4 linked regions of the Notamacropus eugenii genome follow. The protein of the gene in region 2 purifies or fractionates together with the protein of the main gene of each other region. This does not show direct contact. Links are inferred from orthologs where the notes say so. Each region holds a gene or a part of one and is shown on either strand. Other genes may lie near its edges. The genes, in order: CCNL1, CSNK2B, ARK2N and ZNF687.

Region 1 (7,882 bases), on a different chromosome or scaffold from region 2:
TCTCCCTTACCTGGTACCTAGCAGAGCTGCTGGCTTACCTGCTTGTGTGTTCTGACACCGTGCTGCACACCTGCACACCTGCGTACCTGCGTACCTGGCAGGTACAGGTGATCCTGAGTAACGTCCTTAATTCCGCTTTTCAAAAAACAGAGTCCCAAGTCCTCGCGAACACACACCAGAACAGTTTATTGCCTAGCATTTTATTTTCCGGTTCTTAGTTTTATCCAGAAATCTTTGGAACGTAGATATCCCTGGACTGATTCCCGAACTGTGAAAGATCAGAAAGCCTTGTATGGTAGGTCTGAAGTGTGTGCCCAGTGAACAACATTCCTGTTAGAACAGTTCCCTGAGAGAACATCATGATGGTTTGTAGGTCCTAGAACTGATTGAAAGATTTTTAACAATAGGCGGATGACCCTAAATTAACATTCTGTGGTATAATAGTAAAACTATTATGAAAAGTCTCCTGATAACCATAGTTGGACAAAGCCAACAATATGTAGTGACAGCTATTTCGTGATGAACATGAAGATAAATGTCCTGTGTCGATTTTATTGGGTTTGTAAAGCAAAGTATTTTCCTTTGTTGGGATTATATCTCTTGTAGGGAATATTATTTTTAAAGTGTGGAAAGAGTGCAGATTACTTTCTCTGATTTATCTCATGTTTTTCCTGAACTTAGCCAGGGTAAGCTATGAAAAAATAAGACATTTGGGAAAATTTAAAAGTATGTTAGAAAATACATTCATGTTTGTGTAGATATAACTATATACGTACCGTATAGTTTTCATATATAACATGATGAACATATTTTAGAATCAGATCTATTATTTGACAGACATTACATGATGCTTTTTCCCTCACGAGAGCTTAAGTATGGGTTTTACTTGTAATACAGTTTTTAAAATGCTATAAATTAAATATTCCTAAATATTGCTGTTCATGCAGAAGGACTGACTGGGTTCAAAGCTCTACTCTGAGTAGGGTGATATGCAACATGTGTAAGTTTAGCCTGGAAAAGAAAAACACAAAGAATTCCTGCTGGTCCAATAGCTCAGAATCGTTACTTTTTCTATCAAATGGGTATGAGTAAAAGTAATTAGTTAGAGTATCAGTCAAAGTTAGGGTGTTTTAGTTACCATTGTTCTCTACATAGTAATGAAAAATCTCATCCAGACCCCTAAACTAAACCAATTGGAACTTTCGTTAGGACTGTATTACAATTACTACATTAGGTAAACCCTCAAAAACAAAATTAAGATAAATTTCAGTATCTGAAAATAAGGACGATTTTTGTTTTGAATCCCTGTGTGGTGACATGGTCCCTCTGTGACCCACTCTGAAGTCATGGGTCTTCTTTAACAGACTCTTTCTAGACAAATCCAAAAACTGTCTTTAACACTGGGGATTTGGGGGCTAGCCCCTACACTTTGACAGGTTAATGCCTTGGGCAGATGCCTTTCAGTTCCCTAAATTAGCCACATCAGGCTTGTTATTTCTGCGTATAAGATCATGATTCAAGTTCAGTTTTTCTGTTTAAACTTGCAGGTCATCTATATTAATCAAATTACCTGAATGATTGCCAAGTCTTCGCAGTGGTATAAGAACACATTCTATGAATCTACTACCTGTGGAAGGTTTCCATTGAAGGGGGTCTGAGCTAGTGCCGGGACCTAGGTAGATAAGTTATAAAGTAGGCAAAGTTTATGCTAACCCAGAAATCCCAATTCCTTCCAAAGCCTTGCCAACTTGAGGGAATGATTCCTATCCTGCCCAGTGGCTCACACTAGACTACATATAAACCATGAAAACTAAATTTAGTTTGTTTGTCTAGAACTGCTCCAATAAAGTTGCTTAAGTCAGCTACTAGTCTTCCTTGTTCCTTACTGCAACCCCCTCATAAACACTGCCTTTGTGAGTTCATGAATGAGCCCAAATTTAACTGACCAGTACTGACACCAAATACTATTAAACAGAGTATAAAGTAGCCCAGGAAATAATTTGGTTGAACCACTAATTGGTTCAAATGAACAAATGTTCATTATTGTCTTTTGGACTAAGTAAACTCTGAGGTCTATCCCAGCTCTAAAAACTCTATACTTCATTTTTTTCCTGTGATGCAACCTGTCAGCTTTCTATAATAAGCTTTAATCAATATATACGTATATATACACCACTCATGTCCTAGCCACTCCTCTAGAAACTACACCCAGACAACATACACAGTTATAGATTTCACTGCCCTTGGTGGTCTGTGCCACCCATCACTTATCTGGTCACCACAACTGTTTTAATGTGATGTTTGCTGTCCTAGACACACTGCACCTATGTGGATAGGTGGGGCATTCAGTCATTGCCTACCACTTGAAAAAATAAATAGAATAAAACAGTAGTGGCAGTGTTTTCTCTCCTAGAAGGGAAAGTGACCAGAGAAGCCTTTTTGAAACTGCATCATACTTTAGCATATTTCCTGTGAGAGAAGATAGGAAGGGTTGGATACACCAGGTATGCTGCTAAACTAGAGAAGAATGAAGTTTATGTAACAAGTTGATATTGAAATTTACTGGACAGAGGTGATATAAGATAACTGGGTAATGGACCCTGTACCCTTGGAGTTTATAGCCTACTTTGGAAGACTACATGTACAAATGTGAAATAGTTAAGTGGTCATGTGAAGTAATATTTGCCTAAGTGCCAAAGGAAGGATACAAATGTAATCCCATAACAGCAGGGCTGATAGGGACTTGAGGGTAACCAGGTCCAACCTGTACCTAAACAGGGCCTTCCTGTTTACAATATCCCCAACACATAATCCAGCCTCTGCTTAAAGCATCCTATAGAAAGGGATCCACAAACTGAAATAAAGCACAGAGGGCTGAGCTCCTTAGTACCTGACACAGAACAACTCACTTATCTTCAGCCTAGGTCTCCTCGTCAATAAAAGAAGCGCCTCCCCCAAAGGGTGGTTGCCAGGATCAGATAAGATACAACACAAAAGGTGCTTCTAGAGCTAAATAAATACCAGCTGTTACCATTATTACCTCCTGAGGCAACCCAAAGTTCCTTTCACATCAAAACTAAATATACCTCCTTGCAACTCCCATCCATTGCTCCTAATTCTGTTCACATGGGCCAAGAACAAATCTGAGGGTCCCTCTTCTAAGTGACAAGCTTGAAAATCTTTTACAAGCAAATACTCAGTTTCTTTAGCCAGTCCCCAAATGACATTATTATCTAGGCTCTTCACCAGGAATCCTGATTGCCCTCCACTCCTGATTTCTCCCATAATGAGGAGAGAATATGTTACTCTCACTTACCTAGGCCTGGATACTAGACTTCGCTTAGGGCAGCCTAAGGTGACATTTGCTTTTTTGGATGCCATATTACAATCTTTATTAGGATTAAACTTAAAAAATTCAAAGACCTTTTGCAGATGCTCCTCTATCCATACTTTTTCAATCTTGTGCTTAAGAAAGTACTGTTTTGAACCCAAGGTAAAGCTTCCTATTTGTGCATATTAAATTTTGTCTTATTAGTTATACCAATGTTTGTTCTAGCATGTTGAGGTTTTTTTGGATCCTAATTGTGTCATCCAACACATTACCTATCCCTCCTAACTTTGTTCCATCTACAAATTTGATACGTATGCCATATATATCTCTATCTAAATTAAGCAACACAGGGCAGGGCCAAGCATAGATCCCTGGGAACTCCACTAGAAGCATTTCTCCTAGTTGACTGACAGACGTATAACCACCGAGAACAAATTACTCCAGGTACAATCATTCCACTGGCTTTTACTCCACTTTAATGAAGTCATTTAACCTATAATATTCAATTGTGCCCACAGAAGAGCGATGAGACACTTTATCAAGTGGGTATCAACATCATGCAATTTAGTTAACTGTCCAAAGAAAGAGTAAAGAAGGTTAGGTGAGCACAAACCGTTTTCTATGCAGATTTTTTGTTTGGTTTTGGTGCTTCCTTTCCTAATCAATAACCATACTTTTAGTGTAATTTAGAATTTTGTTAGAAACTCACTGACTTTGTAAACTCCGTAAATGTTGACCTTTTTGGGGAAATAGGTACATTTGTCTTCCTCTGAGCCTTGTAAGATCTCTCAAAAACCACTGACATGAGCATAACCATCTCTCCCATCTTTCAAAAATCATCGAGGATGGTTTGGGAATCATATCTTTTCTTAAGCAGCTTATGAACGAAAAGAGGGGGGTGAGCATGAGATGATGTGCGGGCAGAGTGGACCGGACTTGTCCGCTGAAAAGGTGGGGGTCAAGAATGGGGCACGGCCGAGGTTCACCTGCGTGGCTGCAGGCTGCATAGACTGGGCTGCGCTGGGGGTGCAGGGGAGGCTGGGCATGGAATGAGTGGTTTGGAACACGCTGGATTGGAAGATGCCCGAGCCGGCTTTGAGCTGTCCCCTGGGCAGTCGGGGACAAGGTGACAACGATCGGCTGGGGTTTGGGGGAGCAGCGGACCCCCGGCTGCGTGACCGAAGACCTCCGGGGCCAGGGGGTTCAGGACCCCGGGCCTAAATGCGCGAGGGGAGGGCGCTCTTCGTTGTTCCGACGCAGCCCCGCGTTTTCCTCCTGCTCCAACGCGGGTCTGAGGGGTGGTCGGGAGGACAGCTGCACCCCAAGGCAACCCGCCGGCGCCCCGACAGGCCAGCGTGCTCCCGGGGCCCGCCGCCCCGGCCAGACGACCTCAAGGAGGCGGCGCCCTCCGGCCGGGAAGAGACGGTTGAACAGGGACTACTTTTCGCGGCGCGCGGTGACGTCACGGCGGAGGCGGCTGCAGGGCGTGACGCGTCCGGCACCTGGCAGCGGCGGGAGGAGCCGGAGCGGCCGCCGAGCACTCTGGTTATTCTCGCCGCGGGTTCCGGCTGCGTTGGGCGTGCGCGGTGCTCGCTGCGACGATGGCGTCCGGGCCTCACCCGATCCCGGCCGCGGCCTCGGCTTCCTCGGCCTCCTCCTCCTCGGCCCCCGCGGCCTCCTCCTCAGCCGCTTCCTCCTCGGCGGCCCCCGCGGCGGCGGCGGCCTCGGGCGGCCCGGCCTCGGCGGCCTCCGGCGGCGGCCCCGCGGCCGGGATCCTCATCGGCGACAGGCTCTACTCGGAGGTGTCGCTGACCATCGACCACTCGCTGATCCCGGAGGAGCGGCTGTCGCCCACGCCGTCCATGCAGGACGGCCTCGACCTGCCCAGCGAGACGGACTTGCGCATTCTGGGCTGCGAGCTCATCCAGGCCGCCGGCATCCTCCTTCGGCTGCCCCAGGTAGGGCCCCGGGGCCGGCGAGGGGTCGGGGGGAGGGGCGCGGCCGGCCCGGGCCGCACAAGATGGCGGCGGCGCTGGGGCCGGGCTCGTGGCTGACCCCGGCGCTTCCGCTCTCTCCCGACTGCAGGTGGCGATGGCGACGGGGCAGGTGCTCTTCCACCGCTTCTTCTACTCCAAGTCCTTCGTCAAACACAGCTTCGAGGTAAGGCCTCCGGCCGCCCTCCCCGCAGAACCCAGGGTTGAGGAAGCACCGGTCCGTCCTCGTGCTCCGAGCTGGGCACGAACTGGGCTGGGGAGCCCCGAGCTGGGCCCGAACAGGGTTGGGGAGCCCCGAGCTGGGCCCGAACTGGGCTGGGGAGCTCCGAGTTGGGCTGGGGAGTCCCGAGCTGGGCCCGAACAGGGCTGGGGAGCCCCGAACTGGGCTGGGGAGCCCCGAGCTGGGCTGGGGAGCCCCGAGCTGGGCCCGAACAGGGCTGGGGAGCCCCGAGCTGGGCCCGAACTGGGCTGGGGAGCTCCGAGTTGGGCTGGGGAGTCCCGAGCTGGGCCCGAACAGGGCTGGGGAGCCCCGAACTGGGCTGGGGAGCTCCGAGTTGGGCTGGGGAGTCCCGAGCTGGGCCCGAACTGGGCTGGGGAGCTCCGAGTTGGGCTGGGGAGCCCCGGGGAATCGTTCAAGGTCACTCAGGTAGCAAAGAGAGAGCTGGAATTGGGACCCAGGTCCTGAGAACCTACCCTTCCTTCTTCCCCAACATGCCCCTCGGCCCCAGCTGAGTTTAGGGCCACCGGCTGGGTAATTGTGTTAGGGGAGCGCCCTAACTTGTTGTACTTAGACCAAGAGTTCTTATTCTTAAGCTTTTCCCTGTCATCGACGCTTGTCAGCCCCAGTGATGTCCGTGGACCTCTTTTCAGAAAGATATTAAAGGTGTAAAATAAATTTTGTAGGCGTTCAAAAGAAACAAAGTTAGAAAGCTAATCCAAGTTCAGACTTCCCTGTACCCCCTTTTGGACCCCAGGCTTAGAACAGTAGAAAAATTGGGAAATAACATTTGACGTATAAGGTGGAAATAGCACTATTACTTTTGTTCCAGGAAAGATGGGAGGCCAGTTTTACTTTGTGAAATTTAAGCCCCTTATAAGGGAAAAGTTGGCCAGGTTTGCGTTACTTTTTTTCCGTCCTGTAGCCTAGTCTGTCTGTCTGATCTTTTTGGGGAATGGGTTCTTTTCAGATTGTTGCCATGGCTTGTATCAATCTCGCTTCCAAAATTGAAGAAGCACCTCGTAGAATAAGAGATGTGATAAATGTTTTTCACCATTTACGGCAGTTAAGAGGAAAAAGGTAAGATTGATCTCTTTGAAAATAACATCTGTACTGTGTACCGGTGCCATCAGGTTTAATTTTTTTTTTTTTAATACTCATTTCCCAGGACCTAAGGAAATTTTTAAAAAAAGCTGTTTAGGTAGTAAAAGTTCAAATGGATACTTACGGACCACAATGTAACACATAAGATTAAGTTGGAGAAATGGTAATAAAAAGTAGCTACTCATTGGTAACAGGTTTGTTCAGGCAGATTCACATACAGTTGACTGTAGTCTTGGGGGGGCCAGTTATGGCTTAAGAATTGAAAGGGTGTGGATTCTGCTCTGAGATGATCAGCACACCCTGTTCATTTGTTTGGAAGACAAAACTTTGCAAGTGTAAACAATGTAGTAAGTTAATTTTCAGCAAAGTTCTTTGTGTAGTTTATGTCTATCTCCCTGAAGTCTAGTTAATTCTTTATCAATTGAGGTTGGCTTTTGTTAGAATACTTCTCCACATTCAACTACGATATATCGCATAATACCGGATCTGAAAGGACTGCAGGATGATAAAGGTTGAAGTTGAAGTCAAAGGGATTTAACAGGTATTTTGTTCTGGTTAGATAGTCTCAGGAATGGGGTAGAAAATAATTCTTAAAAGTTTGGGTTGAATTATAGGGAGGCATGGGAATTGGATCTTACACGTTAAATTGCAGAGACTGAAACGAAAGGTTTTGTTGAATTTGCACAGTTCAGCCTAAGTTGTCTTTTTATGTGTTTATTTAAGGAAAAGCTTTTTTTTCCAGGCTGTCTTCATTTGTAGGTGAATTTAGTACACTCTAAGGATATTCTTGGAATAGTTTAGATCTTAAGCTTCATTCTTATGGAATGCTGATAATTGGTAGACAAACTTGTTATTGCTTTGAAAGGAAGTTACAAAAGGGTAGTTATCCTGAGGTGGTTCCTACTTTATTTGGCTGGGACTTGGGAGCTAGTTCCTGAATCAGTTACCCTTTTGTCATCCTTAGTCTTGGCTGAATCCAGAAGTTGGCAGTGGTGGGGCTCTTCTGAGTTCAACACAGAAATGTGGGACATTCCCCTAAATGAATAGTGTAATTAATAATAAATTATCTGGAATATTGCTATCATAAGGTATTTTTCCAAAAAACTACACATTCTATTTCTCTCTATTCTCCCCCCCAATCCTTTCCCCCCAACATCCAATGAAACCAATGAAAAACTTTTTTTAGAGAAGGAAATTTTTAAAATTTCAAACTCTGTGACATTAAAATAGTTGAAA
Region 2 (7,964 bases):
AGGCCGCGGACCCGACCGCGGCAGGCGAAGCGGTGGGGGGGTAGGGGGGAGGGGAAGGGGGAAGAGAAACGGGAGGGCGGGAAAGTACACAGAGCGCAGGCGCAGGAGGTCAGGCTCCCCCCGTGGAAGACGGGATATGGAGTCCCTGAACAGTAGTAAGGCTGGGCTAATAATACGACTTCCGGAAGACACCCTTGCCCCTGTCCTCTCAGTGAAATAGGGCAGGGGGCGGGGCCACAAAGGAGGAAGGACTGGAGGCTCTCCTCTAAGATGCTGGAAACAGGAGCCCGAGATCGAGGTTAGCGCTGGTGAACATGGGAAATGTAGTCCTCGTGCCCACAGAGAGCAACACCCAGACTAGGTAAGGTTTGGAGAGTCTTTCTCCTACACATCAGCGAGCCGAACAAGATTGGGATTAAATTGGAATTGGACCGTCTTTCTCCTATACGTCTCACAGGTAAGGTATCTACAATAACGGTCTAGCTCTTCAGTTTATACTAAATGTACTGCATACTTCCCCAGTCATCTATCTGTCATCCCTCACCCTTATTTCCAGTCATCTCCCCTTTTCTCACAATCCTCATCCCCCTAACTAGCCTTCATCATCCCATTCTCCTCAATCATTTTTCATCATCCAGTACTTTAACAAACTTTTATATAAACGCCTGTTATATATTCAAAGCACTGATGGGTGTGGGATTACAAAAGACACTATGAAAAACACTACTGGAGAATACATGTATTCCAGTATTCCAAGTTGATCTGTGCAATCTCATTGATGTGGGTATTTTTCGACCCCGCAATGAGGTACATATACATAAATACAAGATAATTTGAGAGAAAACTGAAATCTAGGAGGATTAGGAAAGGCTTCCTGCAGGAGTTGGCATCTGAGTTGAACCTTCAAAGAATTCTAAGATATGAAAGTGATGGAGTACATTCCAGAGATGAGACACATTTTTCCTGTACATTTTCCTAAGTGAGGTTGGAAAGTCTTTCCCCTACATATCTCACAGGTAGAGTATGTATCATAATGCTTCTCAGTTTATTCTTAATCTTTAAAGGCACAGCACATCACAGAAGCAGGAGATGGAATGCCAAATTCAGAGAAAAGTAAATAGGTCAGTTTGCCTATAACACAAGAGTGGATGAAGGAGAGTAGTGTGAAATAAATCTGGGGAACTAAACTGGAGCTAGATTGTGACTTTAAAAGCTAAATTGAAGAATTTGTCTTTTATCTTAGAGGCAAAAGTAAGCCACAGAACTTTCTTGATTAGGGGAGTGCCTTGTTCAGATCTGTGTTTTAGCAAGATTTTTTTGCTTCTATGTTAAAGATAGATTGGAAAGGGAACACATTGGAAACAGAAAGAGCAACTTGGAGGCTATTACAATAGTCCTGGCTAGGCATGATGAGTGCTGATTGCATGGTGGGAAATGAGTTCTATTTTGGATACGCTGAGTTGGAGATCCAGGTGGAAATATCCAGCAGCCAGTCAATAGACTTTATTCATCAGTGTTTTTGTCTTTGTATCCAAATGCCTAGTACAGTGCCTGGTACACTGTAGATGCTTAACAAGTGTTTGTGGAACTAACTGATCTGGAACTTGAAATCTGGGAGAGAGATTAGGGCTAGATATGTAGATTTGAGAGATATCTGTATACAGATGATAATTGAATCTTTGGGAACTGATATAAAGAAATACTGTAAAGAAAGAAAAGAAGGGGACCCAAGACAGAGCCTCAGGGGGAACACCCATGCTTAGTGGTTTGAATACCTATGATGTTCCAGCAAGGGAGACTGAGGAATGGTCCTTCAGGCTTGAAAACCAGGAGAGTGTAGTGTGATAAAAGCTAAGTTGAGAGCAAGTATTTAGGAAGAGGGGGTGATGAACAGTTTCAAAAACTGAAAAGATGAGGAATGAGAAAAGGCCATTTGATTTATAATTTAAAGAAAATTAATAATTTATAATGAAATTATTAATAACCTTGGAGAAACCCGTTTTGGTTGTGGTAGTGGGAGAGGTATGGAGTTGGGCTGTGAAAAGGATACATGTAGGATGATAGTTTGAGGGTGTGCTAGTGAGGGTTTAGGCAAGGATGGGGAAGGCTTGAGCATGTTTGTAGATAAGAGGGAAGGAGTCAGTGGATAAGAGGAGAGAGGGGCAAGCTCTGGGAAGAGATAAGATGAAGGGGTACAAGTTGAGAGAGGACTGACAAGGAGAAGGGGTGCCTTCTTATAAGAAGAAAATGGGGGATAATTGAGAGGGTTGGTTTATAGAATAGGTAAGAACAGTTCATGAAGGATAGCTTCTATTTTCTCAGTAAAGTATGAAGGCGTTCCTTCATCCCATCTTCCTTCATCATAGTTCATCTTCCTCTCTCCCTTTATCCAACCTTCATTACCCCTATCTTTTATTTCTTCCTCCAAGTTGCCAATTAACCCTTACCATCTATCTCTATTCCCACCTCTCCACAAATCACCCCATACCAAGTTAGCCCCTGCGCCAGCTCTACCAAACAGGTCCTCATGTCCACCCTCCTCCAGAGCACTGGATGACCAGGTTTCTTTTTTGCCCCTTCTCTCCAGAGAATGGAGGTGGGGTGGTACTAGGGAGTGAAAGGGTTTAACCCCAGCCTCCGGGGTAAAGGGCTTGTCATGGGAGGGGGCCGCTAACCTGAGGTGGCACCAGCCATCCTGTTAGTTGTCCCCTTGCCCTTCTCCATCTCCTCCTCCACTCCTAGGGGCTAGGCTGGCCTGCAGCAGCACAGGGCTCTTTGTCTAGCCCTCAAATGCTGGTTGCACTAAGAGTGAGAGGCAGCCTGGCCCTAATTCGCGTTTAGACTTGGCTGCACCCTGCAGGCCTGTGCCCACCTTCCTTGGGCAGCTGACTCCACCGAAACCCCGTCTCTGGCCCCAGGAAATGGGCTTCGGGGGCCACTCTGAGAGGAACGAAGCACATTGTGGGGCGTTATGCAAACGAAGAACCCTAACGGCCGGTGCCCCTCCCTTCCCCCACGGGGGCCTTCGCGCCTCTGAGCACGCGCCTGCCTCGAGCTACCGAGCAATTCGAATCAAACCGGCGGCTAAGGAGCGGAGAAAAGGAGCAAAATAAACAGAACGCGGGCGCAGAATCCCGTGTGTGTGTATGTGTCTGTGTGTCTATCTGCCTCTTTTTAACCACCTCCGCATCGCTCCGGCCTCCAGTCCTCCATCTCGCCAGGTTATTTTACGGGTGCTGTCAAGGCGGCACGCTTCAAGTGTTCCTTTGGTTCCAGACTGAGACTGTAGTTTGACGCAGGCGCACTCTCTTCTCAGTGATCTACTTCCGGAGTGTTTTCTGCGCCGGCGCCGTGTCTCAGCCTGGCGCTGGTTGCTACTGGGACTTGAAGTCGAGTACCGAGCGTAGGGAGTTAGAGGTGGGATCCAGAGAGGAGGCCTGTAATCATTGAACTTACTTCCTGGTTGCCGGTCGCTTACAAGTCTCGGTGGGGGGCTTTGCCGCCCTTTACTGGGTTAGCTTTAGGATGACCCACTTGGCGTTCGCTCCACGCTGGCCCGGTAACTGCTCCTGAGGGCGGCTGGCTTGATGTTCCCCCACCCCAGCAGTCATGACCCGCCCCGCCCTTATCGCCTTCACCCCGGCCCGGGACTCGAGTGACCACTGGAAGGACGGGCGGCAGCAGCCGGAGTCGGAGCTCCCCCTGGACGGTGCAGCCGCCCGGAACTTCTATGAAGCCCTGGTCGGGGTGGAGGGAGACGCCCTCAGAGGGCCCCCGGCACCCTCGCGGGCGCCCCCCAAAGGCAGAAAACGGACGCAGAAAACTAGGCTGGAGAGGGCCGGGGCCGCGGCGGGAGCGGCTGCGGCCCGCGCCGAGAGCGATGGGACCCGGGAGCGACAGACCGCGCGGCTCCTGCGGGCTGCGCAGGCCGGGGACGTGCGGCAGCTGCGCGCCCTGTTGGAGCCCCGAGGCCCGGGGGCCCGCGGGGCCCATGTCAACGTCAACGCCCGGGACGCTTTCTGGTGGACCCCGCTGATGTGTGCAGCCCGGGCGGGCCAGGGACCGGCAGTGCGCTACCTCCTGGCGCGAGGAGCCGCCTGGGTGGGCGTCTGTGAGCCCGGGGGGCGCGATGCTGCCCAGCTGGCCGAAGAGGCCGGCTTCCCCGAGGTGGCCCGGATGGTCCGAGAGAGCGGTGGAGAGGAGAGGCCCCAAAGCCGGTGAGTGGCAGCCCCCTGCCACCGTCCCAGTCTAGCAGCTGACGGGGAAGGGTCCGAGTCACCAAGAAAGTTCGGTGACCTTCCCTGCGAGCCTGGAGCTTACTGGCTAAGGGCGAAAGCCATGCAAACAGCTTCATGCTGGAATTAATAAGAAAGAGATAAGGCGCTAGCATTAAGGGAGGTGGATAAAAGCCTGTAGAAAGTGAGGTTTTATCTGGGACTTGAAGCCATGAAGTGGAGAGGAGGAGGGAGAGCATTCCAGGCCTGGGGCACGGCCAGAAAGAAAGCCCATGGTCTGGAAGATTGTCTTGTGAGAGGAAGGCAAGGTGGGCATTATCACTGGATCTCGGTGTGGGGGTGAGTGCGGTGTAGGAAACCTAGAAAGGGACTCGAGGGCTCCCTTGTCCAAGGACTTTATTTACCAAATAGGATTTTAAGTTTGGAGGTGACAGCCCATGGGTCAGATCTGAGGATGCTCCTCAGCCTCTTCCCCCATCTACTGCTAACCTAGGTTCTTGGGAGGATCAGATGAGGTAATAGCTGTAAAGGATTTAGAGCACAGTGCCAGGCACATGGTCAACTTTGCAAATGTTAGCTATCGTCATCTTCACTATTACACTGTCCTACCCCACCCCATTAAGGAGTCGGTGGCCAATAATACCTAGCCTCCTTTCCACCTGGGGATCCTTGAGATTGTTCTCTATGGTAGCAAGGCCCTGGTTTCTAAGGACTGGTGAGAAAGTATACCCGAGGAGTATGGATTAATAAGGTGTGGTCACCCTTTTCAACTCCAGAGCTGAGCCAACCTTGAGCCTCCTGTCCAGTAAAGTAATACAGTCTTTGAAGACTTATTCAATGCCAGTAAAATCTAAGGCGCTGTGTATGCTGGAAGTTGAACATGCAAAACTACACAGATTCCCTGGAAGAGCTTACAGCCTACCAGGGACTGATACGATGCTCTGTCTTACTACCTCTGACTGGGGGAAGTCTGTCTGTCTGGGCCTCAGTTCCTCATTTGTTAACTAGAGAGTGGGGTTGGACTAGATAACTTCTAAATCTCCTTCCAACTTTAAGTTTATTGTAGTTCTTGCATAAGTGTTTTACTAGGTTGAGTAAAAGGCACAAAAGAGCTCCAGAGTGCTTTAGGAAAATTAGAGGAAGAAACATGAGCAGTTGTGTATCAGGCTTCATAGAAGAGGAAGCAACTGAACTGGACCTTGAAAAGACGCCCACCTTCACTCTTTTCTACCTTTTTTTTTTTCCAGGCCCTGCTCTCCATTGCCAAAATACTGTGAGACTTGTAGTTCCCATTACCGAGACACTAATCACAACAGCTCTACTGCTCACCTCCTATCCCTGTCCCATGGGCCTCAGCCACCCCCCTTGCCTCCAGGAGTCCCTGCCTCTAGCCCTGGCTTTCGATTGTTAGTGAAGGGGGGTTGGGAGCCTGGATTGGGACTGGGACCCCGGGGAGAGGGGCGCACTGCTCCCATTCCTACAATCCTCAAGAGAGACCAGGAAGGTTTGGGATATAGGCCAACTTCTCAACCCCGAGTCACACATTTTCCTGCTGGGGACCTTCGTGCTGTGGCTGAAAAAAAAAGAGCACCTCGAGCTGCCACTTTGGGCAAGAGAGAAGAGAGACATCGAGAGGAGAGGAGTCGAGCTTGGGAACGGAATCTACGGACTTACATGAACCTTGATCTCTGATCCTGACTATATAAACTATGATCTCTGATCATAGACTCTTTGGAGACCTGTGACTACCTACCCCCAAGGATCTTACTGCTGACATCTGACCCTGAACTTGGAATTTTAGTCCCTTGGGTCTTCCTAGACTTGAAATCTTGGATTTTGTTTAGTTTGATTTTAGCCTTTGCTGGAGGGAGATTGCAAAGGTTGATTCATCCTTGCTTAAAGTTGAGAAATAAACATATCTTTTTTGTTTTGTTTTGTGATGTTTTCCTGCTTTGGAGGGGAGTAGGACAGTTTTGAGAGAGGGTGGAATTTGGAACTGGGATGGGGAAGGGGCAGCAGTAAACTCATACTGAGTTATCTTCCACCGTTTTGGCTATGTGTTGTAGAGTGATAAAATTTAGAGCTAGAAAAGACTTGAGATGATCTCATTCAACCCATTCATTTTCACAGAAGGGGAAAGTGGGACCAGAGAGGCCAATGAACCTTAAGTAATTTATAAACATTTTAAGTGCCTACTGTGTTCTAAGAACTGTACTAAGTAGTTCTTTAATTGTCTACAGGGCAAAATACAAACTCTTTTGGCATTTAAGCCTTTTCCAATCTATCTTGAACCCATCATTCTTTCTAGACTGATTTCACATTACTTCTCACCCCCCTCAGCCAAAGTGAACTGTTTGATACTCCTCATGTGTAACATCTCCAGCCTCTATGCCTTTGCATAGGCAGTTCCCCATACCTGAAACATTTCAATCTCAAGTGCCAGCTCCTATGAGAGATCTTTTTTGATTTTTCTCTATCGGCACTTTTCTTCATCCTCAGACAAAATATGTTCTATCTTCTTACATATACAAATTCCCCTCAGTAGAATAGAAGTGCATTAAGGGCAAGGACTGGTTTATTTTTATCTTTGTGCTCTAAGCACCTGGCACAGCACCAACTAAGCAGGCTTAAATGCATTTGGAATTGAATTGATACCAATTTCTTTTATCTTTATGAATTTCATGTTATCAGATGCAGGACAACACTCTAGCCTGTTAAGATCTTGGATTCTGACTTCTCCAGTGTTAGGTTATTCCCAGCACTGTGTGATCTGCAAAAATGAATGTGCCGTCTATGCTTTTGTCCAAGTCATTGATACAAATGATAAACAGCACAGGGCCAAGCCAGTTATTTGAGCATTTCTGAATCTCTGATTGTGTCCATACAAGTCATCTAATCTGGAAGACGTCTTTCCATCTCTCCCTGCTTACAAGAATGCTGTGGAATATTTTATTAAATACTTTTGGTATAAGTTACTACAATTTACTTAGATTTTGAGAGGACGGTCAGAGTAGACAGGAAAGACATAACAGATGAGCTGCTGCTTGGTAGACACTGCCCTACTTGGAAGACATGATGAGAAGCAAAGGGAAGGAGATAAGTATTTTGAGTGAAAGAGAGGAGAATGGAATGCCTTCCAAGCATTAGGAAAGACCAGGAAAGTTCAAGCTAGTTTCCTGTAATTTAGACCAGGAATGGGGAACTTTGAAGTGTGGATTCAATCAAAGGGTTGTACTTGAGGATCTAGAGGGCCTCAAGATCACAAGTTTCCCACCCCTGACAGACTCTGTGACAGTAGTAATGTGAGGTAGGACTGGAAAGACAGGTTTGAGCCAGATCATGGAGAGTTTTGAATGCCAGACAAAGAAGTTTGTGCTGACAGCTGGACAGAGAGTGTAGCCCTGGTGATAATGCTTATTATAGTTCAGCTAGTTGCCTAGCAGGCTGCCCCAGGCTTTATTGGCTAGGGGTCTCAACATAGGATTCCTATATGAGCTATCACTGTATAATTCTGTGCTCTGTTAATTTAGGGTTGTTGTTTAGTTTGAAAATCTTATGTCTAAGGAACCAGTGGTGTAAAGATCATAGTTGATTCAAGTGGCTACTGCTCAACACAAACTGGGAATCCAAAAGGATAGTTTCAACCTGTATTGAAGCTCTATATCACATAAGCATAGTCAACAAAACAAATTCTCACGGGTCACATCCAAATTTACATTTCTTATGCAT
Region 3 (7,558 bases), on a different chromosome or scaffold from region 2:
TCACTTAAGAATTTCACTGTACTTAGTGCTTCCAATATAAATTGCTTGAAAAACATTGCACTTAGTATTTCCAATGTCAGTTTCTTTAAAACTGTATTTCTTTCTTCTTGTTTCACTTAGATTTTGCACATCTGAACTGAAATTTCCATCTATAACATGAAAATACTACCCAGGGTAAATGACTATCTCATAGTTGCAAGTACTTCAAAGTTTTCAAAGCAATTTTATATACTCTGCCTCATCTGATCCTCATAATAATAGTGAGGTTAGCATCCTCTCAATTTTACACCTACAGATACAGGCTCAGTGGTGCTAGGTGACTTACCAATGTCCCACACCAAGAGGCAGCACCAGGTCTTAAACCTGGGTCTACTGTTCTTTGCTTTTACAACTGCATAGACACCAAAAAGATAAAGCTATACTTAAGCTTCTAAATGTGTAGAGGCAATATAGTGTTCAGGGCTGGACTTGAAGTCAGAAAGACTTGTTATCAAGTCAAACATAAGACATACTGGCTGAGTGGGGAAATCCTTAAACATTTTAGTAACAGAAAATTTTCCAAAATGGTAAATTATGGAGCTCCAGTCCCAGAATCCAACCCATTTGATTGGTGACTGAGTATGTGAAAACTACCCCACTTAACCCAATATATTTACATGCTGGCCAGAGGCACCAAACAGTGCTTCAGCTTCACATCCTATTCAGCCATCCACTCAAGTCATTTTACCATCTATAAGTCTTCGAGTTCATACCCTCACGCCATCTCCCCACCTCCCCAGAACAAAACTTATTATTATCCCTTATTAGAGTTCTCTACTAAAATCTAAGCTCCTTGAGGGAAGGTATCTCTAAAAAAAAAAAAAATTCTATTTCCAGCACTTAACGTAATGTCTAGCACCTAGTAAGCACCTAAAAAATGCTTTTTCATTCATGCATGCATGCATTTATCTGAATTCAGCTGAATCTGAACTAAAGGCAATTCCTCACTCATTAAATTACAAGTGCTGATTTTTTTAAGTTGAACATATTTATTTCTCTAATAGGACAATGTGTAAAATTTAACTACTCTGTTTTGAAACACATTAATGTGGAAAACTATATAATTTAAGTGCATTTCACTTAAAGTTTTCCTCAACTGTACAAATCATTCTGACAAAATAGGAACCTTTGGTACCATCAATGCCCATGTATGATTCCAACACTTTAGTATTCAAGTAACACTATCAACTGTAGGTCTATTAAAAATACTTGTTAAATCTCTAATAGGTTTAACAAGCCTAGATGGCTGAAATAACTCAGAGTGGTGGAATAAGCAAAATCGCCATCATATTAGCAGGTTAATAATCTCCATCTTTAAAATTATCCCTGGAGAGGGCTGATTCAAGTTTCTGTTTCGAATTATTACCTTGGCCTATGATATCACAAAATAATATAACCTGAACAAAACTGCTAGATGTGGTTGTAATTAAATGGCCAGAGTTTGATAAAAAGGTAGGAATTTTTTGTTTCTATGGAAAGATATCACGATTCATGCAGGCATGGGAAATAGGAACATACATGAATAAACTAATCTTTCTCCAACCTGCCCCTCCCTGTCTCCTCCCCCAAAAAGACCCAAAACCACCCACCCTCCCTCAAAAGAAATTTTTTTTAAATCCATGTATATCCAGGACAGAAATTAATTTCTAGAAAATAGGAGTGTAATATCTACCCAGAAATCTCAGGATGAGAGATAAAACTCCCAAAGACAAATATTAAGGTTGAGGATGTCCTCCAACTGAACTGGGGCAGGGGGAGCTGTGGGGGAAAGAAGGTAAGGCTAGTATTCAAATTGTATGGAAAAGCTTCCATTCTAGAGAACCCCTTCCGCAGCCTTACTGTGGCTGGTGGGTGGCACATAAGCACCAGGTCACTGCAAAAACCTGGCTCTGGTGGAAAGCTTGGAATGAGTTACTCCTGAGTCCACTCAGACCAAAGTGAAAAGTCCCAGTCTGGCCCCGGAGGGTCAGAGGACTGCGGCCGGGGAACTGCTGAGTCCCTGAGACTATGACCTGCCCTCCCCCTCCCCCTCCCGCAGGAGAAAGTGGGGCTTGCTCCACTGAGCTCCCGCTCCTGGGAGGAGAAAGAACTCCGGGAACCCCAATCCCCCTCAAGGAGAGTCTGGAAGGAATTCCTCCCACTTGATCTGGGGTTCCCCCACCCCCATCCCAAAAAAGTGATGGAAGAAAGACCGGAAAGAACTCGCGCCTGTTATTCTCCAGAAGCTAGCGGTGGCGGGTCCGGACCCGCGCCCCAAGATCGCCAGTGGCGGCCGCCGGTGCCGCCCGGATTCTGGCCAGACCCCCCACACACCTCCGGACTTCGTGGAGCAGAAACTCAGCCTATCACCACCTGGGTCCCCTCCAGACCCCAATTATACAAAAGGAAGGGAACACCACAATGGCCTCTGTTATCGGGAATGTACACGCCACACACACGGGCACTCACACAACACACACGCCAACACGAACACACACATACACACAACACCACATACACGCAGGTACGCACATGCAACGCTACACATAACACAAACTGCACACAACACACACACTCACACCGGAGCCCCTCCGCCTCACACTGGGGCAGGTCCCGCCGCCCCTGCCGGGCCTCTGGACCGTCAAACCCCAGGTCCGAGGCCCGCGGCCGCCCGGGCCGGCCGGCTCACCTGCGCTCCGCGGCGGCTCCTCCCGCCGTCCCCCGCCGCCTGGCTCTCCCGGCCCGGAGCCCGGACGGACTGAATGGCTGTCTGATCAAAGACCCTCTCCCGCCGCTGTGACACTTCCCCCGGCCCCAGTCGCGGCAGCTCCCGCCGCAGACTCCTCCTTCCGGACGCAGACCCCCAGCGGATCGAGGGGGCAGGGGCCGAGGTTCGACAGCACGGGCGCCACCGCTGCCGGGTCCCTTCTCTCCTCCGCGCCGCCCGGAGAAAATGTCACCAGAGGCCGTTCCGCTCCGCTCCGCGCCTCACTTCCGCCCGGAACCACCGAGGTTCCGCCAGGCAGCTAGAGTGACGACTGCACCAGGGGCTCCTGGGGGAGGGAAGGAAGAAGGAAGCAAGGGGAGGCCGTGAAAGCGTCAGAGCGCCCCCTCCAGGACTTAATGCGGTGATCCTCCCGCTGCAGAACCTGGCGCGCTGTAATCTCAGCGGCTCTAGCTAGCCCTCTCTCCCTCTTAAGTGTCCTCCACTCGAACTTGCTCTAGATTCGGAGAGGAAATTACTCCGGTCTTCCGGACTCTACAAAATTTTGTCTCCTCCGTGAAGGTTCCCCTGATTTACTCAATCAAACCGTTATCCATTCAATAACTTCAGCCAGCAAGGACACCCCGTCCCCCCAAGACTCCCCGCGTCTTCCCACACGCATGTAATTCTAATAGGAGCCAACCAGCTGAACACTAATGGCACATTTTATGAATTGTTAATTGTTACAGGATTATCTACTGGCGTAAATTGAGAAGTGTAAAAATGGTCCTTTCTCCAAAAAACAAAATTTCTAGTTCTTAAGCTGATTCCTAAAATTCTAGTATTGAGAGTCATTCTTTGATTAGAGACTTAATGCCCTTTTAAAACTCAAATTATACCCTGGGAAAAATAATATTAACACTCTAGAGAGAATAAATTTTCAGACCCTTTTTGAATATCAGATATTCTTGAGGGAAGGGGAAGGATATGGAGGTAATGGGCTCCTGAGGAGGTCGGATGGGCAATAAGAAAGGTTGTGAGCATAAACTTCAGCAGTTTCACAATTTTTCCGAGAAAACGATCTTTGCAAGTTTCTCTAATAAAGGACTGGTATCCAAAACCTGTAAGAAACTGATTGAAATATACAAGAACAAATCATTCTCCAAAACATGAATGGTCAAAGGACATAAACAGGCAATTTTCAAAGGAAGAAATCCAAGCTATCAACAACCATATGAAAAACAGTTCCAAATGATAGGTAGAGAAATGGAAACTGAAACTCAGAGGCACCTGCTCACACACACCACATTGGCAAAGATAACCAAAAAAAAGGAAGTGACAGCTGTTTGAGGGACTCCCTAAAGACAGAAACAGCAAATGTACTCTTTGACATCTATATAGCAGTAGAGCCATCCTGGGAAGCAATCTGAAACTACACTAGAAAAATCGCTGAAAGACACATATCCTTTGAAGCAAAGGTACAGTATGAGGCTTAATATCCTAAAGACATTAAAAGAAAAGGAAGATTACATGTAAGTACAAAATAGATCTTGTTTTGTTATAACAAAAACCTGGAAACAAAAGAGGAGAGTGATCATCAGTTAGGAATATGAATATAATAAAAGATTATTGCACCATGAAAAATGGCAGAAGAATGCTTTCAGAAAAACCTGGGGAGATTTGTGTGAACTGATGCAGAGTAAAGTCTACAGAACCAGGAGAACAATTTATACAATGACAAGAAGACTCATCAAAAATAATTTTGAAAAGAGTTAAGAACCCCAGTCAATGCAATGACAAAGCACAATTCCATAAGACCAATAATGAAGCTAGCCACTGCCTAAAAAGAAGTAATGGACTTAACGGTCAGAAGGATATACACATTTTGAGACATGGTCAGTGTGTGGATTTGTTTTGCTTGACTATTTTTTCCTGAGATTTCTAGTGAGTTTTTGGGGGTTCATTTTTGTTTCAGCAAAGGAGAATGGGATGGGAAGGACAGAGAAGGGCTTAGCAATCATGTTGCTAAACAGAAAAGAAAGAAAAGAGAATCACTGTATCATTTAAGAGAAAATGAATAGAATAAAACAGAAGGGAGTTCAGAAACACAATCTGGGTAGCAAGGTGCCTGGCTCATAGCAACCATTTAATAATTGCTTATTGACTGACTAACAGCTTTAAAAGTAATATATTGAATGTATTATATAATTTTAAAAGGGTAAACTGTAAGTAAGAGGCTTGTGGTCTCATATGCATTTTCTGTTTTCTGTTTTAATGTGATGTTTGTTAAATGTAAATTCTTTGAAAAAAAATTTTTTTTTAATTTCCAAAAGTTATCTCTGTATTCTTATTAAGGCAAAAAGCACAGTGTTACTAAATCTAAAGAAGAAAGGGGTTGATTAGTTTTGCTAGGGGGTTTCCTCTTCTTCATCTTTTTCTTTTATTTTTTGTCCTTTAAAAATATTGTTACATGCAATGGTTCTCTAGGAGAAAGGATACTGAGAGAAATTCTGGTAAAATGTAAAAAACATATCAACAAAAATTTATTTTAAAAGACAAGAGATGGGTCAGAAAAATATTCACAATGGTGCTGAAATCTGGGAAAGATTCATTCTACAACACTAAGGTACAAGAGGCAGTATGTGGTAGTATAAAAAACACATTAAACTGAGTAGGTTCTGAGCCTGGCTCTGCCATTAGGAAGCAAAGTTATAAATATATTTAATTTTACTATTCTTATTTAGAGATTCGTGTGGTACATCTGAACCTCAACTACCTTATCCATAAAATGAGGAAATGGATTGGAGTAGATGATGATTTTCCCAGTGACATTGGCATCTCAAAAGAAAATGTTTGTCAGTTAAAATGATAGGAGTTTATATTTACATAGAATGATAAGGTTTACAAAGCACTTTCCTTAAAATAACCGTATGAAATAAGGAGTACAAGCAATATGATCTCCATTTTATATAGAAGAAAAATTAAGGCTCAGTAAGATTTAATGACTTGCCTGTGGTTCAGAGCTCTTTGTACTGTACCCCATCTCAAACTGGACTGTACAGCACTATAGGAGTAGAGAATAAATACAAGTTTGCTAGAGACAGATACATATGCATACATACGTGTATTTGTATATCATATATGCATTTGCATATATGAAGTTAGGAAGACCTGGATTCCACTTCTGCCTCTATCATATTAGCAGTTTGGCTATGACAAATCATTTAATCTCTAAGTGCCCAGGATAGTTTTCTAAGACTATACGTTGCACCAGAGTTGTAAATCTTCACTGCATAAATGGACAGATTTACTTGTCCAGGATTAGGTTTCATATAACATATATATATATATATGGTGGAGTGCACAGAGTGCTAGGCCTGGAATCTGGAAGACTCATCTTCAAAAGTTAAAACCTGGCTTCAGATACTCACTAACTGTGTGACCCTTGGCAAGTCATATAACCTTGTTTGTCTCAGTTTTCTCATCTGTCAAATGATCTGGAAAAGAAAATGGCAAACCATTCTAGTACCTTTGCCAAGAAAACCCCAAATGGGGTCACAGACATGACTGAACAACAATACAGGTATAGATACAGACACGTGATTATATACATATACACATATGTATATAATCTGTACGTGCATGTTATAGTTTTTAATGTGTATATAGTCCATAATGTGTACAATAATATAATAAATGTATATAATATTTATAACATATGCATTATATTGTACATGTGCATATTTTTATGTATGTATTGATAATGTTTAATATAAAATTTTGGAATAATCTCTTTGTTCTCTCTGAAGTAAACTCAGAGAGTGCCTCTTCCTATGTCAGCAAAAGCCAGCCAAGGCCGACTCTACACTCCTTAAGGAGACCTTTAACCTAAGACACTATATCTTGAATAATGAGACTTTCCTTTGAATCTTATTATCTACAGACATGTACTATGTTATGGCATATTAATGGTAAAGAAAATATAGACATCTTAGGTCGTAATTTCTATTGAACATTGTTTACCCTTTCCTATGTCAATTATCTGTTTAGGGGAGGAAGCCTGCCACTTACTAGTGGTGGGGTTTCTTTCCTTATCACCGAGACATATGCTTACCCAGCCTGAAATCCCAAGGCCTGACTAACATTGCTTTGTTAATTGTCCTGTCTTACTGAATTTATGATTTGCTTAATTAGGAGAGTTTCTTTCTCATGGCAAAATGTACTTAAGACAGATGATTTCTGTACTAGGTAGTCAGAGTCACCTCTGACTCCATAGCGCTATGTAACTGTTTTCTTTATGGGGAATTGATTAATTAATTAAATCATAAAATGTATGCATTTAGCCATGTTGCCTTTTCTCTAACCAAGTTTTCAGGTCAACAGTATATATATATATATATATATATATATATATATACATATATATTCAACAAACATTTATTGGACTCAGATCATATACCCAATAATTCCAGGGAGTGAGGATAAAAATAAAAGGCATAGTCTCTGACCTCAAAGAGCTTAATATCTACTTGAAGAGACAGAGTATGTATGTTAAAAGATAATAAAAATACTAGGTAGTATGTGAGAAGTACCACTGATGATGAGGATGATGATGACAGTGATGTTGAACTTTCCATATTTTTATTCAGTTAGAGAAAAGAAGTTATATTATTCGTCTGGGCAATAGTCCACAGAACTTTAAATATGAAAGAATAATAACTGTGATAGGGCTTTGAGAACTGGCTAGTATGTTGGGATTTGTAGTTTAAAGGGACAATCATTTTACTCTCAACTCTTAGAACAATTTGAAAGCTTTTCAATATTCGAGCTAGAAAG
Region 4 (7,510 bases), about 220 Mb from region 2:
GGAAAAGGAGAATAATGATGGGCAGTTTAAATATCCCTTGATAAGCAAAAGGAAGCCATGAAGTTTTATCAGAAGCGGAATGACCATCTCTAAGAAAAATGTTTCTGCCAGCAGCATGAAGAATGGATTAAAGGCCGGGGAGGGTATGGAAACGGAGTCAGGAAGATAATTAGGAGGTTATTGCAAGAGACCAGGTAATTGGTGATGAGAGCCTGTACTGGCTTGATGTCAGTGCGGGGAGCAGGGAGGCTGAGTTGAGACACAGATGACCCCCATCAGCACCTTGAAGATTCAAGCAGGGGAAAGTCCAAAAGAGCTGCTGGGGAAGGATGGAGGGGAGGGGAGGGAAGGGCTATGGAGGGATATGAAGGGATAGCAGGAGGAAGCTGAAGACAATGAAGTGAGGTAAACACAGAAAGTCAGAGAAAGAGATGGGGATGTGTGCAGGCATGTATGTATATAGCAGAAAGGGTCCTGAGGAATTCAGAGAGTTTACAGAGGGCTGAAATCAGCTGAGGTTTTAGATACAGACATGGGACCCATCCTTGAAGTGACTCCATCACTCAGCTCAGTACCCAGCAAAGAAAAACAATTAATCAATAACTGTTAAGGCTCAAGATTGGCCACAGGATCAATCAAGGTCATCTGTGGGTCAAAGGAAGCCCACAGAGATGAGAAAGGAATTGGGCCAAGTGGTCAGAGCAATAGGATGGGACACAAGAAAGGTTTAATCTCATCACAAGTTTCACTTGGTTTCAGCTTCCCCACCCTATAAAAGGCAGAGAATGATTCCAACTCCCTACAGAGCTGTTTTAAGGATAAAATCAAATAAAAATTGGATTTCAGATCAAATAAGGACATCTTAGATCTGCTAAGGATTAGGATGAGTGGGCAATGGAAATCTGAGACTGGGACCATTTGAGACCATCCATGGTTATCCCATAAATTCAAATCTGGGCCAACTGGGGTGATTCTTAACTAGAAGGGAACATAAACTGATCAATGTGGAAAATGGACTAGGGAAAACAGAAATACAGAGAGATTAGGTGAGAGATCCAGAGACAATGACAGTAGATCTTGTCACAAAAGTCCCAGCTCTGGGGCCTCTCCTCAGTCACAAACACCTGCTGCTCAGTTCCCCAGCCTTCCCTAGAGTGGCACAGACTTCCCTCAGCCAGCCCCTCCTTTCTTTTTCATATTCCTCTCTTCTCCTTTCTTCCCAGGACAAGGGACCAAGATGCATAGGAGAACTTAATGGCAACACTGCCCCAAAGAAATTAACCTAGGATTCAAGAGGGGGCTGAAGGAGAGACAGGACCCCACCCCCACCCCCCTTAGGCTGCCAAGGTAAAAAGCTTCTCAAACCATCTTGGTGGCAACTAATTCCATTCAAACCCAGCCACAGTCCCTCACTCTGTCCCAAGGCCGTAAAACAGAAGTAACCTTCAATATCTTACCCCCTTCTACCCCTATTAAAAAAAAAAAAGAGGTAAAGAATTGAAATTTGGCCAATCTCTGCAAAAACAAAGCTGACGGAGTCTCTACCTCCACAAATCCCCTCCCCTTTCTCTTTTCTCAAGATGCCTTTGGTCCTCCAGGGGCCAGTTCCCTCACCTGTCCCCAGACCCAGGATGGTAACTGGAGATGGTCTCTGCAGGTGGCAGCAGGTACTAGTGGAGGGACCTCTGGGAGCCAGTGGAGGGGGGAGGGGGTAAACCTATCCAGCTTGAGGCAAAATGGGGAATCCTCTCCCATTCTTCAGCAAAGTCCCTTACTTTAGTCTCTAACTGGAAGCTCTCCTAAGAGCTGCCTGGCTATTTCTCATAGAGGTCCTCCCAGTTCTCCTTGGGGCAGGTGGAAGAGGAGTGGCAGACTATGAAGAGTACACCCCACTTCATTCACACACCCCTCTCCGCAACTAGCGGGGGAAGGGGGGGGAATCAGGCTAGGTTCTGAAGTCGTCCCATAGCCATCCACTTCCAAAGGCAGAAGCAGCCTGGTACTCAAGGGAAAGCGCTCTCCGGCCTCCGAGTCTCCAGGTTGTTGGCCGCCCACCCCTCTGAGCTTTTCCTTCAGTTTTTGCCCAAAAGCCAAAGGGGAGGCCCAACAGGGCGAGTGCCGCTCGGGGCACATGGGGGAGGGGAGGGCAGGAGCGCTCCGCTTTCCACGGGCTCCCACGGCCTGGCACTGGGGCAGGGGCGGGAGGGGCCGCGGCCGGCGCACACGAGGCGATTAGGCTGCAGACTGGCTGGGCAGCGGGCGGAATTAAGTCCCTGCCATCTGCTGAGGCACAGGCTCGGAGGAGCGCAGCGAGGCAGAGCCGGGGAAAGGCGAAGGGGGAAACTGAGGCTGCCAGGCGGGGGAGGGGTCTGGAGGCCCCCACACAAGCGGCCAGCCTGCGGCGGCTCGCGCCCCGGGGCCCACCACTCCCTCCTCTCCTTGGCAGGAGTTTCAGGACCGCGTCTCAGGGCGCCCGTAACCGACCGTGGTCCGGGGCTCCCGGGGCCAGCTCGGACGCCCTCCCGGCTCGCCGGCTCTGGCTTCTCCCAGGGCCCCCTGGGGTGGGGTGAGGCGGGGTGGGGCGGGGCGGGGCCTCAGGACATCAGCTTCCCTGGGAGGCGCGAGCTGGGGGAGGGGGAGGGCTGACCCGCAGGCCTCAAGCCTTCGAACCCGGGCCCGGGCGCGTCTTTCGGGGCGGCCGGTCAGCGGGGGTCGGGAGGGAAGGAAAGGAAGGAGGGCTGCCGGTCCGCGACTCCTTCTCCCCCGGGGTGCAGGCACCATGTTGGGTCGTGCTCCCTCGCGGCCTCCCGGGACCCGGTCGCCGCCCTGGGCCGGAGACTAGGGGGAAGGGGCCGGCAGCGAGGTGCCTCCGGTCCCCCGGGTATTTACCTGGCTTGCCGGGAGCGCGGTTCTGCCGGGGGTTCACCCACCCCAAGCCGGACCCAGGTGGGCGGCGGCGGCGGCGGAGCAGCATCCTCACGGTACAGATTTCCACCCCCAATCCCCCCGACGCCTCCCCCCGAGAGAGGGGGGATTTACCCAAGTGGGGGAGGGGAGGGTATTTACCCGCCCCCAAGGAGGGGGCGGGGCCGGAGGCGGGTATTTACCCGGGGCGGGCTTACTTGTTCCGGTCCCGGGCCAGGCTGACACTATGCGGTCTTTACCCAGCTCCTGCAGACGCCGCTGCCGCCACCTTCCCCGCTGCCTCCGTTTCTCACCGCGGCTACTTCCTGCTTCTCCACTGTAGAGCTTTTTCCCCCTCCCTCAACCCTTTCGGCGCTCCTGGCCGGAGCCGCCTGCTTCTGCACTCGCCATTGGATGTCACGCCCGTCGCTCGCTTTCTAGCCCCGCCCATCGTCAGATACTAGTGGCTTCGGCTGACGTCGCTCTGGACGAAGTTCCCTCTCTCCTCCAATCCTCATTGGGCCGGGGCCCTCGTCACTCAGAGGACCCCTCTCGCCATTGGTCGCCGTCCTGAACGAAACGTGCCCATCCCTCTTACCTGAGCTTCTTAAAGTTCATTGGAGGAAGCTTCAGTCGCTTACCAACTGCCCGGCCTGATTCCCTCTTTCTCCACTGGAGTAGATTGCTCTCCGACGTCCCTCGGTTCTCCTAAAGCCCATTGGCCTGTCTTCATCTATGCAAATATGAAAGAGTTTTCAGTTTCTATTTGATGAAGACTTAGAGAGGGAGGGGCAGCTCCTCCTTGACTCCTAGAGAGACCCGGATAGGAAGTACCCTGTCCAAGCTAGTTTCTCATACAAACGACCTCTGCGACAGAACGCCGCGCCATGACACTATGGCGACGCTACTACGTCACCTGACGTCATGACGAGCTCTGGTGTGGGGCAGTACCAGTTTTTCTTATCAGCGTGGTGACGTCACACCAAACTACACGTGGCCTAAGGATGCTCCTACAGCCCCACTTTCCTCGCCTTTTCTTTCTTTCTGTGACGTGGTGGAGGGCGGGGGCAGGGGACACGTGGAGTCTGGCTTGACTTGGGCATCCAGTGAGTGACCTTGCCACCTACCCCTAATGGCCCCTTTGTGGCCAGTGGGCAGCTTCTTATCTTCTTCTCCTGACCACCCACCTTGAGTCTCCCTCAATTTGATGAAGTCATAAAGGCTTGACTTCCTCTCGCTGTGCTGCCCCTTAATTACTGGGGGGTATTATTACAGGGTTTGGGGTTGAATTTAACCCTAGAGACCCAAAACAACCTTTCCTTTTGGGCAAGAAGAAACTGAGAAACAGAAAAAGGAATTTGGCCATCAGAATGCCCGCTCCTCCCCATCATTGATACCATACAGTATGGTGCTTGATGTGCCTAGACCCCTCCAAGAAATGATTGGGGGGGGGCAAAGTCCTTGCCCTCAAAGGCTTATAACCCACGCAAGGTAGCATACAGCAAAGGGGCAAACCCAGAGTTTGGACAACCATGGCTGTTGAGAGTTCAGGAGAAATCTAGCCCGGATTTGCCTTGGCATGGAGGACTTTGGACGGCTGATGGCTTTAAAGTAAGACCTGGGCTGGAATTCCACCTTGGCTCTAAGTTGTCATAACTCAGGGCTAAGTCAATTAAGTTAAATATGTCTCAGTTTCCTTATATATAACTGTGGACTCTGATTCCTCTCAGAATTGTCACATGAAGTAATGTATTTATGTGAAGTGCTCTTCGGTAGGAGTTAGAAGAGGAGATGAAGGGAGAATGTCCCTTTTCAGGAAAAAGATATGTTGAAAAAACACCCAAAAGCAGGATTGTGAATGTCATGTGTAAAGGACAGAGAAGTGACCTGTTCAGCGGGAGTAAAGGGGAATCCTTGAAATGGAAGATGTAGATGGCAAAGAGGTTATGGAAGATGCTGGAAGCCAGGTTAAGACACATGATATTCATCATATAGGCAATGAGAAGCCATCTAATGCTTTTGCTGAAGGGAGCTGAAGGAGGTAGTTTGGGGCTACTTCCTGGGCATTTATGACAGCCTGTTTTTCATTCCTTGGAGTGTTTTGGAGACTTGTGCAAAGTAAGTTATAAATTCAGAAATCAATACCAGACCACAGATGAAATGCGTCACTAGTAGTTTTATCTATCCAAGGAAAGGACTGTTTATAAACGTAACAGATTGCAAATTGTAATAATTTCATCATAAAGTTGAAATTGCTGGATTCCAACCTATCTGGATATGTTCCGAGTATTATAGTAGGGGTTCTTAACTTGGGGTCTTTAAAAAAAAAAAAGTAATAACTGAATATAATAAATTTAATTTCTTGCCTTTGTAATCCTATGTGTTTTATCTCATGCGTTTAAAAATATTATTCTGAAAGAAGGTATCCATTAAGTTTCACCAGACTGCCAAAGGAGTCTGTGACACAAAGAAGGTTAAGAGCCTCTGTCTTAGGGTAAAGCCTACACTGATCTAGATTTGATTTATAAATCTAAGATGGGGAAGAGAAAGGCATTTATTGAGCATCCACAATGTGCCAGCCACTGTACCGTTGCACATTTTATAAATATCATTTGAGACACACAACCCTGTGAAGTAGGTGCTATTGTTGTCCCCATTTTACAGTTGAGGAAACTGAGGCAGGGAAAGGTTAAGTGACTTTCCCACAGGGTCACACAGTTATGAAGGTCTGAAGCCTAATTTGAAGTTAGGTCTTCCTGACGTCAGGTCAGTGGTTTTAGCCACTATGCCACTTACCTATGGATGAAAAGAATATGGATTGATGGTATGATGGAAAAAGCATTAGATTTAGAGTTAGCCAACCTGGATTTACATCCTGGCTAATCTATAATAGGATGACTTTGGAAAAATCACTTAACTATTCTGCATCTCAGTTTCCTCATCTGTAAAAAGAGAATTAGATTAAATGATTGTAAAAGTTCTTTTCCTCCTGGTCCTGTAAATTGTCTCTTTTATTCATCTCAGGTCACAGATTTAGAGCTGGAAGGTTTGTTGTTGTTTTTTTAATGAAAAAACATTTATTGAATTCCTGTTGCTACTAAGTACCAAGTGCTATGCTCAGTACTGGGGATGGATGACAACTACAGAAAGACAATCTATGGTCAAGTACACACTTGAGGGATGGTAGGGTGAGGAAAAACAACATATTATAGAGTTCAGTTGCAGGATAAATGAAAAGACTTTTAAAAGTTCTAAGTCCTAAAAGTTGTAACAATGCACCAGAGGGGCAGATTGCATGGCCTAAACAGGAGCTCCCCTAACCATCAATCTTGCATCTCTCTCTGTCCTCCATTCCCCCTGAGCTCCTGGGCCACATACTGAATGAAGTACATTCAGTACATACAGCATTGGAACAACAAAATATTCATTCAGGTCAGAAATATACAAAAAGCAGTGGAAAGCAATCGCCACCCATGTTCTCAGTAAATGGCCCATACCCCTTCCCCAAAAGTAGCCTAGAATTTTAACTCATTTAAATAATTCTAATTCCAATGGGGAAGTTTTACATAAAGTCTGTCTGTAACTGAAATAAGAGGTTGTAAAATGAAGTGAATATAACATCCACATTTCTGCTTAGAAGGCAGCTGGTCTTACTATCTCTCTGTACCTAGTATGACTCCTTGCTTTGTGGAGCTTCAGGGGTGCTCCGTGGCTACTTGTGTTCCTGAATGTCCCTCTCCTCCTCCCAAAAGCCTATCATCTCCATGATCTCATTCAAAATGATGTCTGTAATCCATCTTTGTTTTCTGGACCCAGGTATCCTGGGAAATGTAGTACTTTCATAATTACATTCAAATAGAGGTTAGGGTCTTTTAGGCCATTTTACCTGAAGCAGGTCTACTCTTAATCCCACCTTCTATTGGAAGCCTTTCTCAATCCCTCTTAATTCTAGTGCTTTCCCTCTGTTGACTATTTTCTGTTTATCCTATATATAACTTGTTTACTTGTTGTCTCTTCCATTAGACTGAGTATCTTGAGGACCAGGACTGTCTTTTGCATTACTTTGTATACCCAGTGCTTAGCACCATGCCTGATACATAGTAAGTGCTTAATTTGTTGACTGACTGAAAAAAAATGGATATCCCTAAAGCATAGATCTAAACATAATCAAAAAGCTTAACTCCTCCCTATGGCCCTAGAATAAAATATAAACTCCTCTGTTTGGCATTAAAGTTCCTTCATTATCTGGTGCTATTTCCAGACAGATTATAAATTACTCCTTCTCCCACACTCTCACCTAACTGGTCTTCTTACTTTTCCCTATGACTTGAGATTCCATAACCTGCTTCCATGACTTGAGATTCCATAATCCGCTTCTGTAATTTGAGATTCCATAGCCTACTTCTGTGACAGACACCAAAACCCCACCCTTCTGCCAATCTTCTCTTTTTCTGTTAAAGTCAACACCATTCTTTTTTTCACTCTCCCAGACTCGTACCCAGAGCATTATTCGCAACTCGTCACTCTCTTCATCTCACATATATAATCTGTTGCCAAATATTGTCATATCTTTTTTTTACTTAATAGCATTTTATTTTTTTTCCAA

What was found.
Region 1: the proteins of CSNK2B (region 2) and CCNL1 purify together in Homo sapiens (co-immunoprecipitation; 3 studies listed by BioGRID and IntAct, with this or other methods). This does not show direct contact. The link is inferred for Notamacropus eugenii from reciprocal best matches to the Homo sapiens genes CSNK2B and CCNL1.
Region 3: the proteins of CSNK2B (region 2) and ARK2N purify together in Homo sapiens (co-immunoprecipitation; 3 studies listed by BioGRID and IntAct, with this or other methods). This does not show direct contact. The link is inferred for Notamacropus eugenii from reciprocal best matches to the Homo sapiens genes CSNK2B and ARK2N.
Region 4: the proteins of CSNK2B (region 2) and ZNF687 purify together in Homo sapiens (co-immunoprecipitation; 3 studies listed by BioGRID and IntAct, with this or other methods). This does not show direct contact. The link is inferred for Notamacropus eugenii from reciprocal best matches to the Homo sapiens genes CSNK2B and ZNF687.

Annotation. Positions count from the first base shown.
Region 1 is NC_092877.1:368,068,172-368,076,053, forward strand, and holds the start of CCNL1 (cyclin-L1), read left to right. Parts: upstream 1-4,872; 5' UTR 4,873-4,932; coding exon 4,933-5,289; intron 5,290-5,416; coding exon 5,417-5,491; intron 5,492-6,512; coding exon 6,513-6,622; intron 6,623-7,882. UniProt on the Homo sapiens protein: Involved in pre-mRNA splicing. Functions in association with cyclin-dependent kinases (CDKs). Inhibited by the CDK-specific inhibitor CDKN1A/p21. May play a role in the regulation of RNA polymerase II (pol II).
Region 2 is NC_092873.1:85,319,431-85,327,394, reverse strand, and holds the start of CSNK2B (casein kinase II subunit beta), read right to left. Parts: upstream 3,002-7,964; 5' UTR 2,961-3,001; coding exon 2,873-2,960; intron 2,835-2,872; exon of another isoform or gene 2,725-2,834; coding exon of another isoform or gene 2,676-2,724; intron 244-2,675; exon of another isoform or gene 1-243. Other genes in the region: GPANK1 (G patch domain and ankyrin repeat-containing protein 1), read left to right, coding at 3,610-4,217, 5,483-5,927. UniProt on the Homo sapiens protein: Regulatory subunit of casein kinase II/CK2.
Region 3 is NC_092875.1:327,641,051-327,648,608, forward strand, and holds the start of ARK2N (protein ARK2N), read right to left. Parts: upstream 3,002-7,558; 5' UTR 2,708-3,001; intron 1-2,707. UniProt on the Homo sapiens protein: AMPK substrate important for exercise capacity and skeletal muscle function.
Region 4 is NC_092873.1:305,102,857-305,110,366, reverse strand, and holds the start of ZNF687 (zinc finger protein 687), read right to left. Parts: upstream 3,007-7,510; 5' UTR 2,975-3,006; coding exon 2,890-2,974; exon of another isoform or gene 2,870-2,889; intron 2,392-2,869; exon of another isoform or gene 1,615-2,391; intron 1-1,614. UniProt on the Homo sapiens protein: May be involved in transcriptional regulation.